Linked DNA regions of Drosophila melanogaster. The protein of the gene in region 1 interacts with the protein of each later gene in a biochemical or structural test. Each region holds a gene or a part of one and is shown in the gene's direction. Other genes may lie near its edges. The genes, in order: MAPk-Ak2 and IscU.

Evidence for each region.
Region 2: of the proteins of MAPk-Ak2 (region 1) and IscU, one has a biochemical effect on the other in vitro, tested with the Drosophila melanogaster proteins (one study listed by BioGRID).

What each region holds. Positions count from the first base shown.
Region 1 is NC_004354.4:5,759,110-5,765,790, reverse strand, and holds MAPk-Ak2 (MAP kinase activated protein-kinase-2), read left to right. Parts: upstream 1-1,587; 5' UTR 1,588-1,722; intron 1,723-2,858; exon of another isoform or gene 2,859-3,008; intron 3,009-3,106; exon of another isoform or gene 3,107-3,109; 5' UTR 3,110-3,131; coding exon 3,132-3,690; intron 3,691-4,206; coding exon 4,207-4,622; intron 4,623-4,970; coding exon 4,971-5,075; 3' UTR 5,076-5,883; downstream 5,884-6,681. Other genes in the region: CG42699 (uncharacterized protein), read right to left, coding at 196-876. UniProt on the Drosophila melanogaster protein: Its physiological substrate seems to be the small heat shock protein (HSP27/HSP25).
Region 2 is NT_033777.3:8,822,180-8,826,203, reverse strand, and holds IscU (Iron-sulfur cluster assembly enzyme), read left to right. Parts: upstream 1-2,026; 5' UTR 2,027-2,132; coding exon 2,133-2,219; intron 2,220-2,402; coding exon 2,403-2,780; 3' UTR 2,781-2,943; intron 2,944-3,134; 3' UTR 3,135-3,355; downstream 3,356-4,024. Other genes in the region: CG8379 (uncharacterized protein), read right to left, coding at 1-571, 796-1,252, 1,315-1,516, 1,596-1,649; CG8369 (uncharacterized protein), read right to left, coding at 3,422-3,480, 3,538-3,735. UniProt on the Drosophila melanogaster protein: Scaffold protein for the de novo synthesis of iron-sulfur (Fe-S) clusters within mitochondria, which is required for maturation of both mitochondrial and cytoplasmic [2Fe-2S] and [4Fe-4S] proteins.

The sequences.
Region 1 (6,681 bases):
CCCTGAGAATGTCCCAGCAATTAACAAAACACACCGTGGTTTAACCATAAATTGGGGAAATATTTCGAAAAAAAAAGTATATATTTGATGGAAAACCAACTCGAAATTCATTCTAGCAGTCAGAAGAACATGACCAAATACAAGCCAATAAGAATAAGTGGAATATAAACCTGCAAGGCGAATTTTGAAACTCACCGTATCCTCGTCGTCATCGGTATTATCCTGAAGCTGCTGGAGTTGCAGCTTTGCCATGGCCGCCGTATGGTTCTCCATGTCCATGTCCTTGGGCGTGGACTCCTCGGAAATGACCGACGCCGATGGCAGGTTATCCACGAAGGCGGCAAAGCCGCATCCATTGCTGCTTTCTAGCGGCGTCTGCACCGATGTTGGCGAGGCCGACGATTTGGAACCGGATCTGGGCCGGACTCTGCCATTGACTGCGACGGTTTTTGGCGCCAAGGGAGCAGGCGAATGCTCGATGCGATGGGTATAGCGTGTATTCAGCCGTATGCTGCTATGCGGCGAGGACTGCGGGGATGAGGAAGAGCCATCACCACCGGTGGCAGCTTCTTCTCCGAGGGTTTTGGTCGGAGCAGGGGGCCCGGAAGCGTCCAGTTTTGGAACAATACCGCCGAGACGCAACTGCTGTTGGATCAGGCGCTCCGCTTCCTGCAGCAATTCATCCACGGATCGCATATCTGTGCTGTCGGACAGGCGACTCACCTCCTGGAATATGGACTCCGGGTCCGGATCGTTCAGTATTCCGCCGCAGTCCTGCTCTTTGGCCAGGAACTCGATGATCGAGCTGCTGTTCGTGTAGTCCAACGCATCCGCCTCCGACACGCCCTGTTTGTGGGGGCTAAGCACCTGCGACATGGCGCGCTGATGTGATCCGCAATCAAATGGGGCCAGTGAGGATGTCTATCTACTTTTCTGTTTCTATTCTATTTATATATATAGAATCCCGATGCTTCAGTGTGTTTGTTTGTTTGTTTGGTTTGCCTGGTCTATCAATGCAAACCAATTGAAAACGAACAGAAAACAGCCGGACTATGTGCTCGTTGGGGAATTTCCGGGTGCCCAGAGCTCGGACCTGGGGATCACGGATCTCACGGATGCGGACACGAGGCTCAGCGGACGCGGCGCATCGTCAGTTTGGCCGTGGCAACAACATTTTAACCACTTTTTGCAGTACCCACACCCCACTCCACTTTGTAGACAGTCGGTAGTAGTGATGGGCGAACGGCGATAAGCAGCTCGACAAAATATTCGATAGTCAAACAATTTTATTTTATGTTTTGTTTATGTTACATTAAGTAACGTCATTCAGTGACCGATTTTAACGTAAGCATTTCAGACATAACTGTTCCGCAAGTAAAACTTCATTTTTTTATTTTTTAACAAGAATCAATTAATACGAAATCTAATTGGAAAACGTAGTTTCAGTTAGATCTAATACAAAAACGTACCGTTATCCTGTATTCGATCAATTTAATCGATTTTTAGCTTTCGAACAAGCCGATAACCCGCAAATCGATTAACTAGCATACCTGTACTGGTACATTGCACTGTATTTACAGCTTTTTCCATTCAGTGTCGCCTGGTCACACCGCGAAGCATTTACAAATAAATTCCCTGGTCGTGTTGTTCTTTTTTTTCGTTCCGTTACATAGCACGCTAAAGTAAATATCCGAAAGGTAAATACGATCAGCTGAAGAGCAGGTAATAATGCGGAATATATATCCGGGCGAGAATGAAAAGCGGATAAGATAAAATCGCTGCGCGTGGCCAAAAAAAAAAACTGGACCACCTGAAAACGATCGAAAGGCGATAACAAGATAAAAAAAATGTACTGGCGTGTACAGTGAAAACGAGAACTCTAGGAATTACTAGTTAAACAGTGGGAGAACATGACGCATTGTTTGCATTTGTATGGCCGTTCGATAGTGTGTGTGTGTGTGCGCGGCCTTTTCGGTGTGCGTGCGGTGTGTGTGTGGGCAGTAAAATACTCGTTAATTAACCAATTTTAAAGAAGACTGAGAAAATAATAGTTCTATTCTCCGCCACTGCGTAATGTGCACGAAATTAACAAAAACCAAATGCACCATGTATTTCATCAGCAGTGCGGCAGCACGCACACAAATGCACTCAGCATACAGCCGTGTATCGATATTAGCGATTACCGATAACGCGTCCAACATATGCAATTACTACCGTTTTCCTGTTTTCCCCCGTTATAAAAAACAGAAAGAAAAACATTGTATACCGTTTTTCCAGGAAAACACAGAAAAAGAAAGAAAACACGAAAATATGCAGCGACTGTGGACCTAACCAGCCACCCCACCCAACTTCCTCCGCCCCCAGATTTCTTTTTGATATTTTTTTTCTGCCTCTCTGTAAGTTCATTTGCATGCAATTTGAATCGAGCCGAGATCGCAGCTCTTCGAGGTTCTCGGATCTCCATATTCTGTATATCTATAAGGCTGGAGAACTGAATGTATGTAGCAATTCCTATTCTCGTTTCGTACACGCCATGAAAGCAATGTACCCTTCTTGAAGATCTTGACTATATTTCTAGATCCAAAAGGTTAATTATACGAAAACAAAGAAAATAACACATTTTTCTCGATGCACTTTTATTATTGCTATCCAGGGATTCACTTTCCAAAAGAGCAGTGGAAACGTTGTGCAGGAATCCCCTATCAATTCCCACGGCAGACTAATTGCCAGTAATTAAAAAGCCCAACTGCTATACACCCAGATTAACTGAACCTTACATTTACGACGACAATAGTTTTGCGAAAGATAATAATTAAATAAAATTTATTGTTCCTCAAGCGACTACTTTTTTTTTTGGCCCGACCCTCAATGACGCCGAAATCGTTAAGCAAATAAGTTGCCCATAAATCGTTAACCAAAATTGGCTTTCCATTCACGATAACAATGAAAAGAAGCGTCTTGCAATAATGAAATCAATTTAAAGCTTTGTTTAATTGCACAAAAACGAAGTTAGTTTGGTATCAAGTCAAGGCTTTAAAGCTGACTAGATTACTTATAAAATTAAGACCACTCATCACCGAACTCCATTGACCATTTATCTTTTTTTCAGTTAAAGATCAGCCGATTCCAGAATGCTTTCTCTGCAGAATCAACGGCAACCGAAGACCACCCCACTGACGGACGACTACGTGACCTCGAACACGGTTCTGGGCTACGGGATCAACGGGAAGGTGGTGCAGTGCACCCATCGCCGCACCCAACAGAACTATGCCCTCAAGGTGCTGTTGGACAGTGAAAGGGCGCGTCGCGAAGTGGACCTGCATTGGCGGGTCAGCGGATGCCGGTACATTGTGAACATCATTGATGTGTACGAGAACACGTTTAAGGACAGGAAGTGCCTCCTGGTGGTCATGGAGTGCATGGAGGGCGGCGAGCTCTTCCAGAGAATTCAGGACAAGGCCGACGGTGCCTTTACGGAGCGGGAGGCGGCCCAGATAATGCACGAGATCTGCGCGGCCGTAGACTATCTGCACAGTCGCGACATAGCGCATCGCGATCTCAAGCCGGAGAACTTGCTGTACACCACCACTCAGCCGAATGCGACCCTTAAATTGACGGACTTTGGCTTCGCCAAGGAGACATTCACCAGTTACACGCTGCAGACGCCCTGCTACACTCCCTATTACGTGGGTGAGTGTGCCTTTTGTAGGGATAATCATCATCTAGTTTCTAGTTGAGGTCAATTGTCACATTGGGCACGAAAAATTGCTCTATAATTGTTAAAATCGTCTGTTTACCCACACGGAATTGTGTCAGGAGTTTTTGTTTTAGCCCGGAAGCCGCATGACAGGCATTTGCTGATAGTAAAATTACTTTTTATGCTTGTACCGCCCCGCTTACATAATCTACTAAGCGAACTTTCTCTATAACTTCTGTAATTCAATTCAGCCTTGTTCTCAATCTCGTTGCGAAAGAGTTGTTCGAGAGTTTGCAAAGTGCAATCGACTCGATTTGCAATCGAACGGAAAGAAAGGTTGCGAACATATCGGGGGATTCATAATAAGGTTTTAACAATTAGAATTCAGTTCTCATTGGGTAAATACAGTGTACTTATTCCTTAAAGTTAGTACATTTTCCATTTTGAATATATTATAAGATATTCTTCTGGATAGTTCCCATTTTAATGACATGTTTTTTCTTTTGCAGCTCCTGAGGTTCTGGGCCCGGAGAAGTACGACAAGAGCTGCGACATCTGGTCGCTGGGCGTGGTGATGTACATCATTATGTGCGGATTCCCGCCGTTCTACAGCAACCACGGCCTAGCCATATCGCCCGGCATGAAAAATCGCATCCGCACCGGCCAGTATGACTTTCCCGATCCGGAGTGGACGAATGTGAGCCAGGCGGCAAAGGATCTGATCAAGGGCATGCTGAACGTGGACCCCAGCAAGCGTCTGCGCATCCAGGACGTCATTAGCAACAAGTGGATTGCCCAGTACAATGCTGTTCCACAGACACCGCTCTGCACGGGTCGCATGCTAAAGGAGGCCGAGGAAACCTGGCCGGAAGTGCAGGAGGAGATGACGCGCTCACTGGCCACCATGCGCGTAGACTACGATCAGGTGAGTCACCCGCAGTGGCAACTTGGCATTGCAACAAAAAGATAAATCTCAATGCGAGTCCAAAGTTTTCACTTCTATTATATAACCATTACTCATTTGCTTCTCACCACATACTGTACATAGTATCTTTTCGGTCAATTTGTTTATACAATGGAAAAATAAATTTCAATTTCAGTATGCTTAAGCAATTAGCAAGTCGCCTACTTCCTAGCCCTCTTTTTGTTCTAGTCGTGAACTGGAAAGTCACTAATTATAAGAACTAACAGGAGGTTAATGCGCCTGAAATGCTTTGATTAGTTCAAAACTTGAAAGAAGGTCTTTTCCTAATTGGAATTTTCTTTTCTGCAGATGCAAATCAAGGCGCTGGACAAGTCGAACAACCCGCTGCTGACGAAGCGCAGGAAAAAGATCGAGGAGATGGAGTTATACATGGCCAATGCGACGCGCAACTAGACAACGAGGAATCCAGAGCGACTAACACGGCCAACCCGGGAGTGAGATGAGATGAGATGAGGAGAGATGGGCGTAGGATGTAGGATGGGCGAACCATCGGTTTAACACTTAAGCGGATAACAATGTTGTACAATGCTTTACAAAAACGATAAATACTACTATACTACGACGGCGGCAAGATCTGCTATTAACTAATATACTACGATGACAGCAACCTTTGCAAAACAACTACTCCATGTTATTGTTACGTTACGTTTTCTTATTCATTTTGTCCCATTATCTATCTATCCATTTCCAGTCAAGGGTTCTTAGGGTATTTTGTAGTCTGAAAAGTGCTCTTTTGTAAAAGAAACTATAAAGCGTAATGCGCAAATAACGAACTTAAGTAAAGCCAAGTGCAAGCCTAGCTAGCCAGCCAGCCCAGCCGAATATTCAAAATGTCTCGGTATCGCGTGAAAGTGTTTCGTTTTTCGATTCCCTTTTTTTTTTTAAATATTATTTTCCAAAAACGTGTCATTTGTAACCGAACCGTTTTTTACGTGTACGTGACTTTGATTATAATTATATATATATATGTATATGTATAACCGTCTGTGTATGTATGGCATATGTGTGGAGAAACAATTATACAGCCAGTTCACGTTAGCATTAATCTGCGCAAGATTCAGTGTTGTTTATAACTTTTATTTGCTGATTCTGCAAGCGATATACCATTTTACCGTATAGCATATTTGTAGTCCATAAACAACAAGATCATCCCCCAAATTAATAAAAACAAATCAAGCTTATTTTACTATGATTAAAACATAAAACAAAATTGCTTTCATTTCAACGCCAAGTGGGATAAAAGCACGGTTTAGAGGGAGAAAACAACAAGTGGTGGTTGCATCTTCTGGAAAAACTCTGAGCTTGACCCACTACCACCACCACCATCTGGTATGGAAACAAAAAGTCAGCTGGATTTCGGTTTTGTAGTGTCATTTATTTTCCATTTCCATGATCAACAACAGTGCTCCGGCATGTGAGCCATCAATAATCATCAACGATGCTTTTCGCATAGGGTGCTTGTGGGCGGGAATGGGGCGTGGCGTGGGGTCGGGTGGGGAAATGGGTAGGAGGAGGTTGTTTTTCGTGCAGGTTGCAAATAACAATTTGCCAACAGTGTGATGGGCCAACAGCTGCGAGAGGCCGCGATTACAATACCCGGACTAAAGGCTACGACTAAGACAATAGTTAACATTCACGTACTTGTACTTGTGATTCGGTTATTCGTGTCGTTTCTTTTGTATTTCTTGTGTGTGGTGTTGTTTTTTTTTTTTTTTATCAGAGGTTCTGTAAGAGGTTCGTGTTGTGGTTTCGATCTGCTTTACTGTATCGTTTTTACGGGCTTCTTTTTTCATTGTTTTATTGTTCGCGTTTTACGTTTACCTTGACGTACTTTCAGTTGCGTGTTATATCAATTTACAAAATATGTGACAGAAAATTCGCTTAGAAAAATACATTTGGTTGCTTTGCTTTGCTTTGCTTCCTGTCCTCTGATTTCATATTTGTTTTCTTTTGTTCCATGTACTTGTTGGCCGTAGTAGTTTGTGTGCTCCGATGCTGT
Region 2 (4,024 bases), on another chromosome or scaffold:
GGACTTGCCCACCCGATCCACATTCAGCTTGCGATGACGCATCTGCGCCCGATGCAGCATGACTTTGAAGGTAAGATTGCTGTCGTGCATCATGGAGTTGGCGTACTGGTCCTCGGAAATGCAGGTGAGGATGAGGAAACACAGCTTCAGATTAGCAATGCTCGATTCGTTCTTATTGTCCTGCATCACGATGGAACAGTACTGAAATACGGCCACCAGCAGATTGGTGGGATACTGCGTAATGTCAATGATGGGTGCATTAGATAGATCCGGCACAGGTTGGGCCAGACTCAATGTGTTACTGGGCGAGGGCGGGGCACTGGACTCTGCCTGCGTGTGAGCCAGAGTTGTGATGAAGTTCCGATTCAGGTGCACTGCCTCGTAGAGGGCAAGTAGAAGGCCATTATTCGCCTTGATCTGCTGCACCCGTTCGCATCCTTCATCCGACACAAACATGTTGCCCACAATATTCGACAGCGACGAAAACCAGGAAGAGGATTGCACATTGTTAAGGCTCTGAATGTACTGGCGACAGAAATCAATTAGCGATTGCGATATCATTTGGCCATAGCTGGAATCAAGATAAAGTTCGGGTTACTATCGAAATAAGATATGCAAGCTCGTGGCAAGTTATCTGTTTGATGACGTCAGTCACCAACTGCTGCCACATAAAAGAACTTTGTGATTCAGTTTAAATATTTGATTACCCTCGATTATAAATTCTTTAAGCCAATTGCTTTCACATAAGTTGCCAGAAATATACATACATACATTACATTGACTAAATGGACTCACCCATTTAAAGCCAGCTCATCAGCGAGTATGGAGAGCTGCACCACATAGGGGTTAGTGGCTTCATGCTTGCGATAGTTGACCAGGATAGTAAGTAGGATAACGATGTCGTGTCCATGCTGGCTACGGAACGTAGGATCACTGAGTAGCCGAACAAAGGCGTCGAACATGCTGTGCATCATTAGATGCTCGAAGAGGGCGTTCTGGTTGACGTTATCCGTGCCCGTAACCAGAACCTGCAGCAGTTTGAGGCACATAAATCGAGCGTTTTCGGGCACATCGCCCAGGAGGATGCGATTGCAGTACTGCATGAGTAGCTTCAGCCATTCGTCCATCTTCTCATGGCCGAAGATCTCGTTTAGGATGTTTAATGTTGGTTCTGCGTTGGACTTCTTAAAGATCCCGTAGAACAGGGAGCACAGCGTGTGTAGGCTGTTGCACAGCCGCTTAGGATGATCTTCTGGGGGAAATCACGGATTATAGGTGGCTGGAGGTATATATTAATAGGTCAAACTGGTCTACCCGTGTCAAGCATTTCGATGCACCTCTGGAAGAGGGTGTTCAGGTTCGGTTTCACCAGCTGCAGCTGCTCGTTGTTGAGTTTGCCAATCTCATTCTCCAGCGCCTCGAAGTTCGGCTGCAGCAGGAAGAACTCGTTCCAAAATTCGGGACTCTCGCTGCTGGGATCCTCGCCCCGGCACAACAGCTCATATATATAGACCACCTGCAATAAATTCCAATTAGTCAAGCAAAGCACAAATCTTCGAGGGCGGAGCTCGTGAAATCCAGTGCTCCGGGCGAACCTTCTCCTTGGGCCGCTTGGTGGAGCCGCTGCCACTGCGCTTGCGAGAGGTCATGACTGGATGTGGATATTATTGACCTAGGGGACTAGTTTCAGAAACTCATAGTCTGCTGCTGTAAAAATATATCGGAAGTTGGCAGAATTTGTGGATGGGCAATAGTAAACTTTGTGATTGGGGAGTGACCATAGGAGTGAGTTTACAAAATACCTGGCAAGCTGCCAACTCAGAGTGTGATTTTAAATGCAAGAGGGTGCTTTATTCAAGCTTTTTTATGGCTCATTATTGATAAAAACAATTTATTACTTATAGTAAATAACTTATTATACTGAACTGTTTTTAAGGAGTAAATAATAATAATATAAGAAATCTTTTAAAAAATCGAAAACATATCGACAACGGCGTTAGCTGGTCTTTCACATCTGCCTTAAAACGGGCACACTGTCCATCAGCTGTTTCTAACACGCAGTTGCCTGTGTTTTTTCGATCTCTTTGAATTTCACAACAATTCTTCATTAAATTGATTTATTTAATTTAAATATGTCCCTGGTGCGAAACTCCTCCCGGTTGCTGCGATCGCAGCTGAAGCGCGTACAAAGTGTCCCGGTGGCATTGTATCATGAAAATGTAAGTTAGAACTCGCAATTGCCGCGCGGAAGGTTCTTTCGTAATATCTAGAAGCTGTATAATATAGATAAGAAACGACTTTGTTGTCGTTCTGAAAGACAGCGTTTCAGGCGGCACGCAAAGTGATAAGCGCGATAGCACAACCCCCTGGTGACTAACACACCTACCTATTTTCACCCACAGGTCGTTGAGCACTACGAAAACCCGCGCAACGTGGGATCTTTGGACAAGAAGGATGTCACTGTGGGCACCGGCTTGGTCGGAGCACCAGCCTGCGGCGATGTGATGAAACTGCAGATCAAGGTGGACGAGAACGGCAAGATAGTGGACGCCAAGTTCAAGACCTTCGGCTGTGGATCGGCCATTGCCAGCAGCTCCCTGGCCACCGAGTGGGTGAAGGGCAAGTCCATCGACGAGGCCGGAAAGCTGAAGAATACGGACATCGCCAAGGAGCTGCGTCTGCCGCCCGTCAAGCTGCATTGCTCCATGCTGGCCGAGGATGCCATCAAGGCGGCCCTGGCTGACTACAAGGTCAAGCAGCAGAAGAAGGTGGCCAACTGAGAGGCGGAACGGAATCTGTGAATGTAGTGGAGCGTTTCTCTGAACAACTACTAAAAAAAAAACAACTATAAGTACTCTACCATACAATACAATACCATATACTATATATTACTTGGCATTAGGTCGTAGTATGCGATTATTGTTCGCTAGAGCTCTGTGAGTGGTGAGTCAAATGGTATGGATACAGTGAATGGTGGTTAAGAGGAACTACATACATATTTTTTAATAATATGTATGACAATGCAAAATAATCCTCGTTTATTGCCTATTGGCTAGTTGCTCTTAACACACTTTTACTGAAATAATAACAATAATAATCATACCAACTGATTAATGCTTTGATTTTGATTGCAGATTGGCCGCGTGACTGCTGATAAGTGCATAGAAGTTTAGGAATCGTCTGTCATTGATACTAAAGGATAGCTGGAACTGATCTTGTATGAATGCATATGCACGTGTGTGTTTTGTAGGGGAATTCTAAGTAGTCCCGAGAGCTAATTAAATTTTCCGTTCTGTTATGCGAAATACAAGCTTGTGTCGAAAACAAATAAAGCGTTCCCGTTGGAATAAAAAATACATGAATATATTATTGCACAATCAGTGAAAGATGTTTAATCGTCAAAAGTGTTGAAATTGGACTTCTAGGACAGGCGAACGCTCACTCCACCGCCGCACTCGCCCTTGGACTTCTGCTCGAATGCTGCAAAAGGATTAAATCATATTTAATTCTGTAAGGATATTGTAGAGGATCTCTTACGATCGTCGGCATGCTGGCAGTTGTAGTTGGCCATGACGCACGGGCTGCCAAAGGTGAGGAGGCGCTCCTTGCTGCTGTTTTTGGCCTTGGCACAAACGGGCTCGTAGACTTCACCGCAGTTGTGCTGGCAACTGTTGGTGGCCGGCTTCTTGGTGTCCTTGGCCGGAGTAGCCAGGACGAATGCCAGCAAGCACAGTGCTAAATAAGTTTGGTCATGTTAAAATTCTTAAGCCCGCTCAATTATGTTTGTTTAAATGAAAACTAGATAAATATGTATTAGTACTTTATTTAATTTAATTGCATCACCGTTCGGAGCAAATTATATTTTTGTAGATCGGAATATAATTCTGTCCGTGAGATCATTCATTTGGGCTTTTGGTCTTAATGGATAGCCAATTATTTTTGCACTTTCCAATCATACAACAAATTGCTTCGTTTGATCCAAAATTGTATTTATAATTTTGTTTATTTTCGATCCCTAAACTAA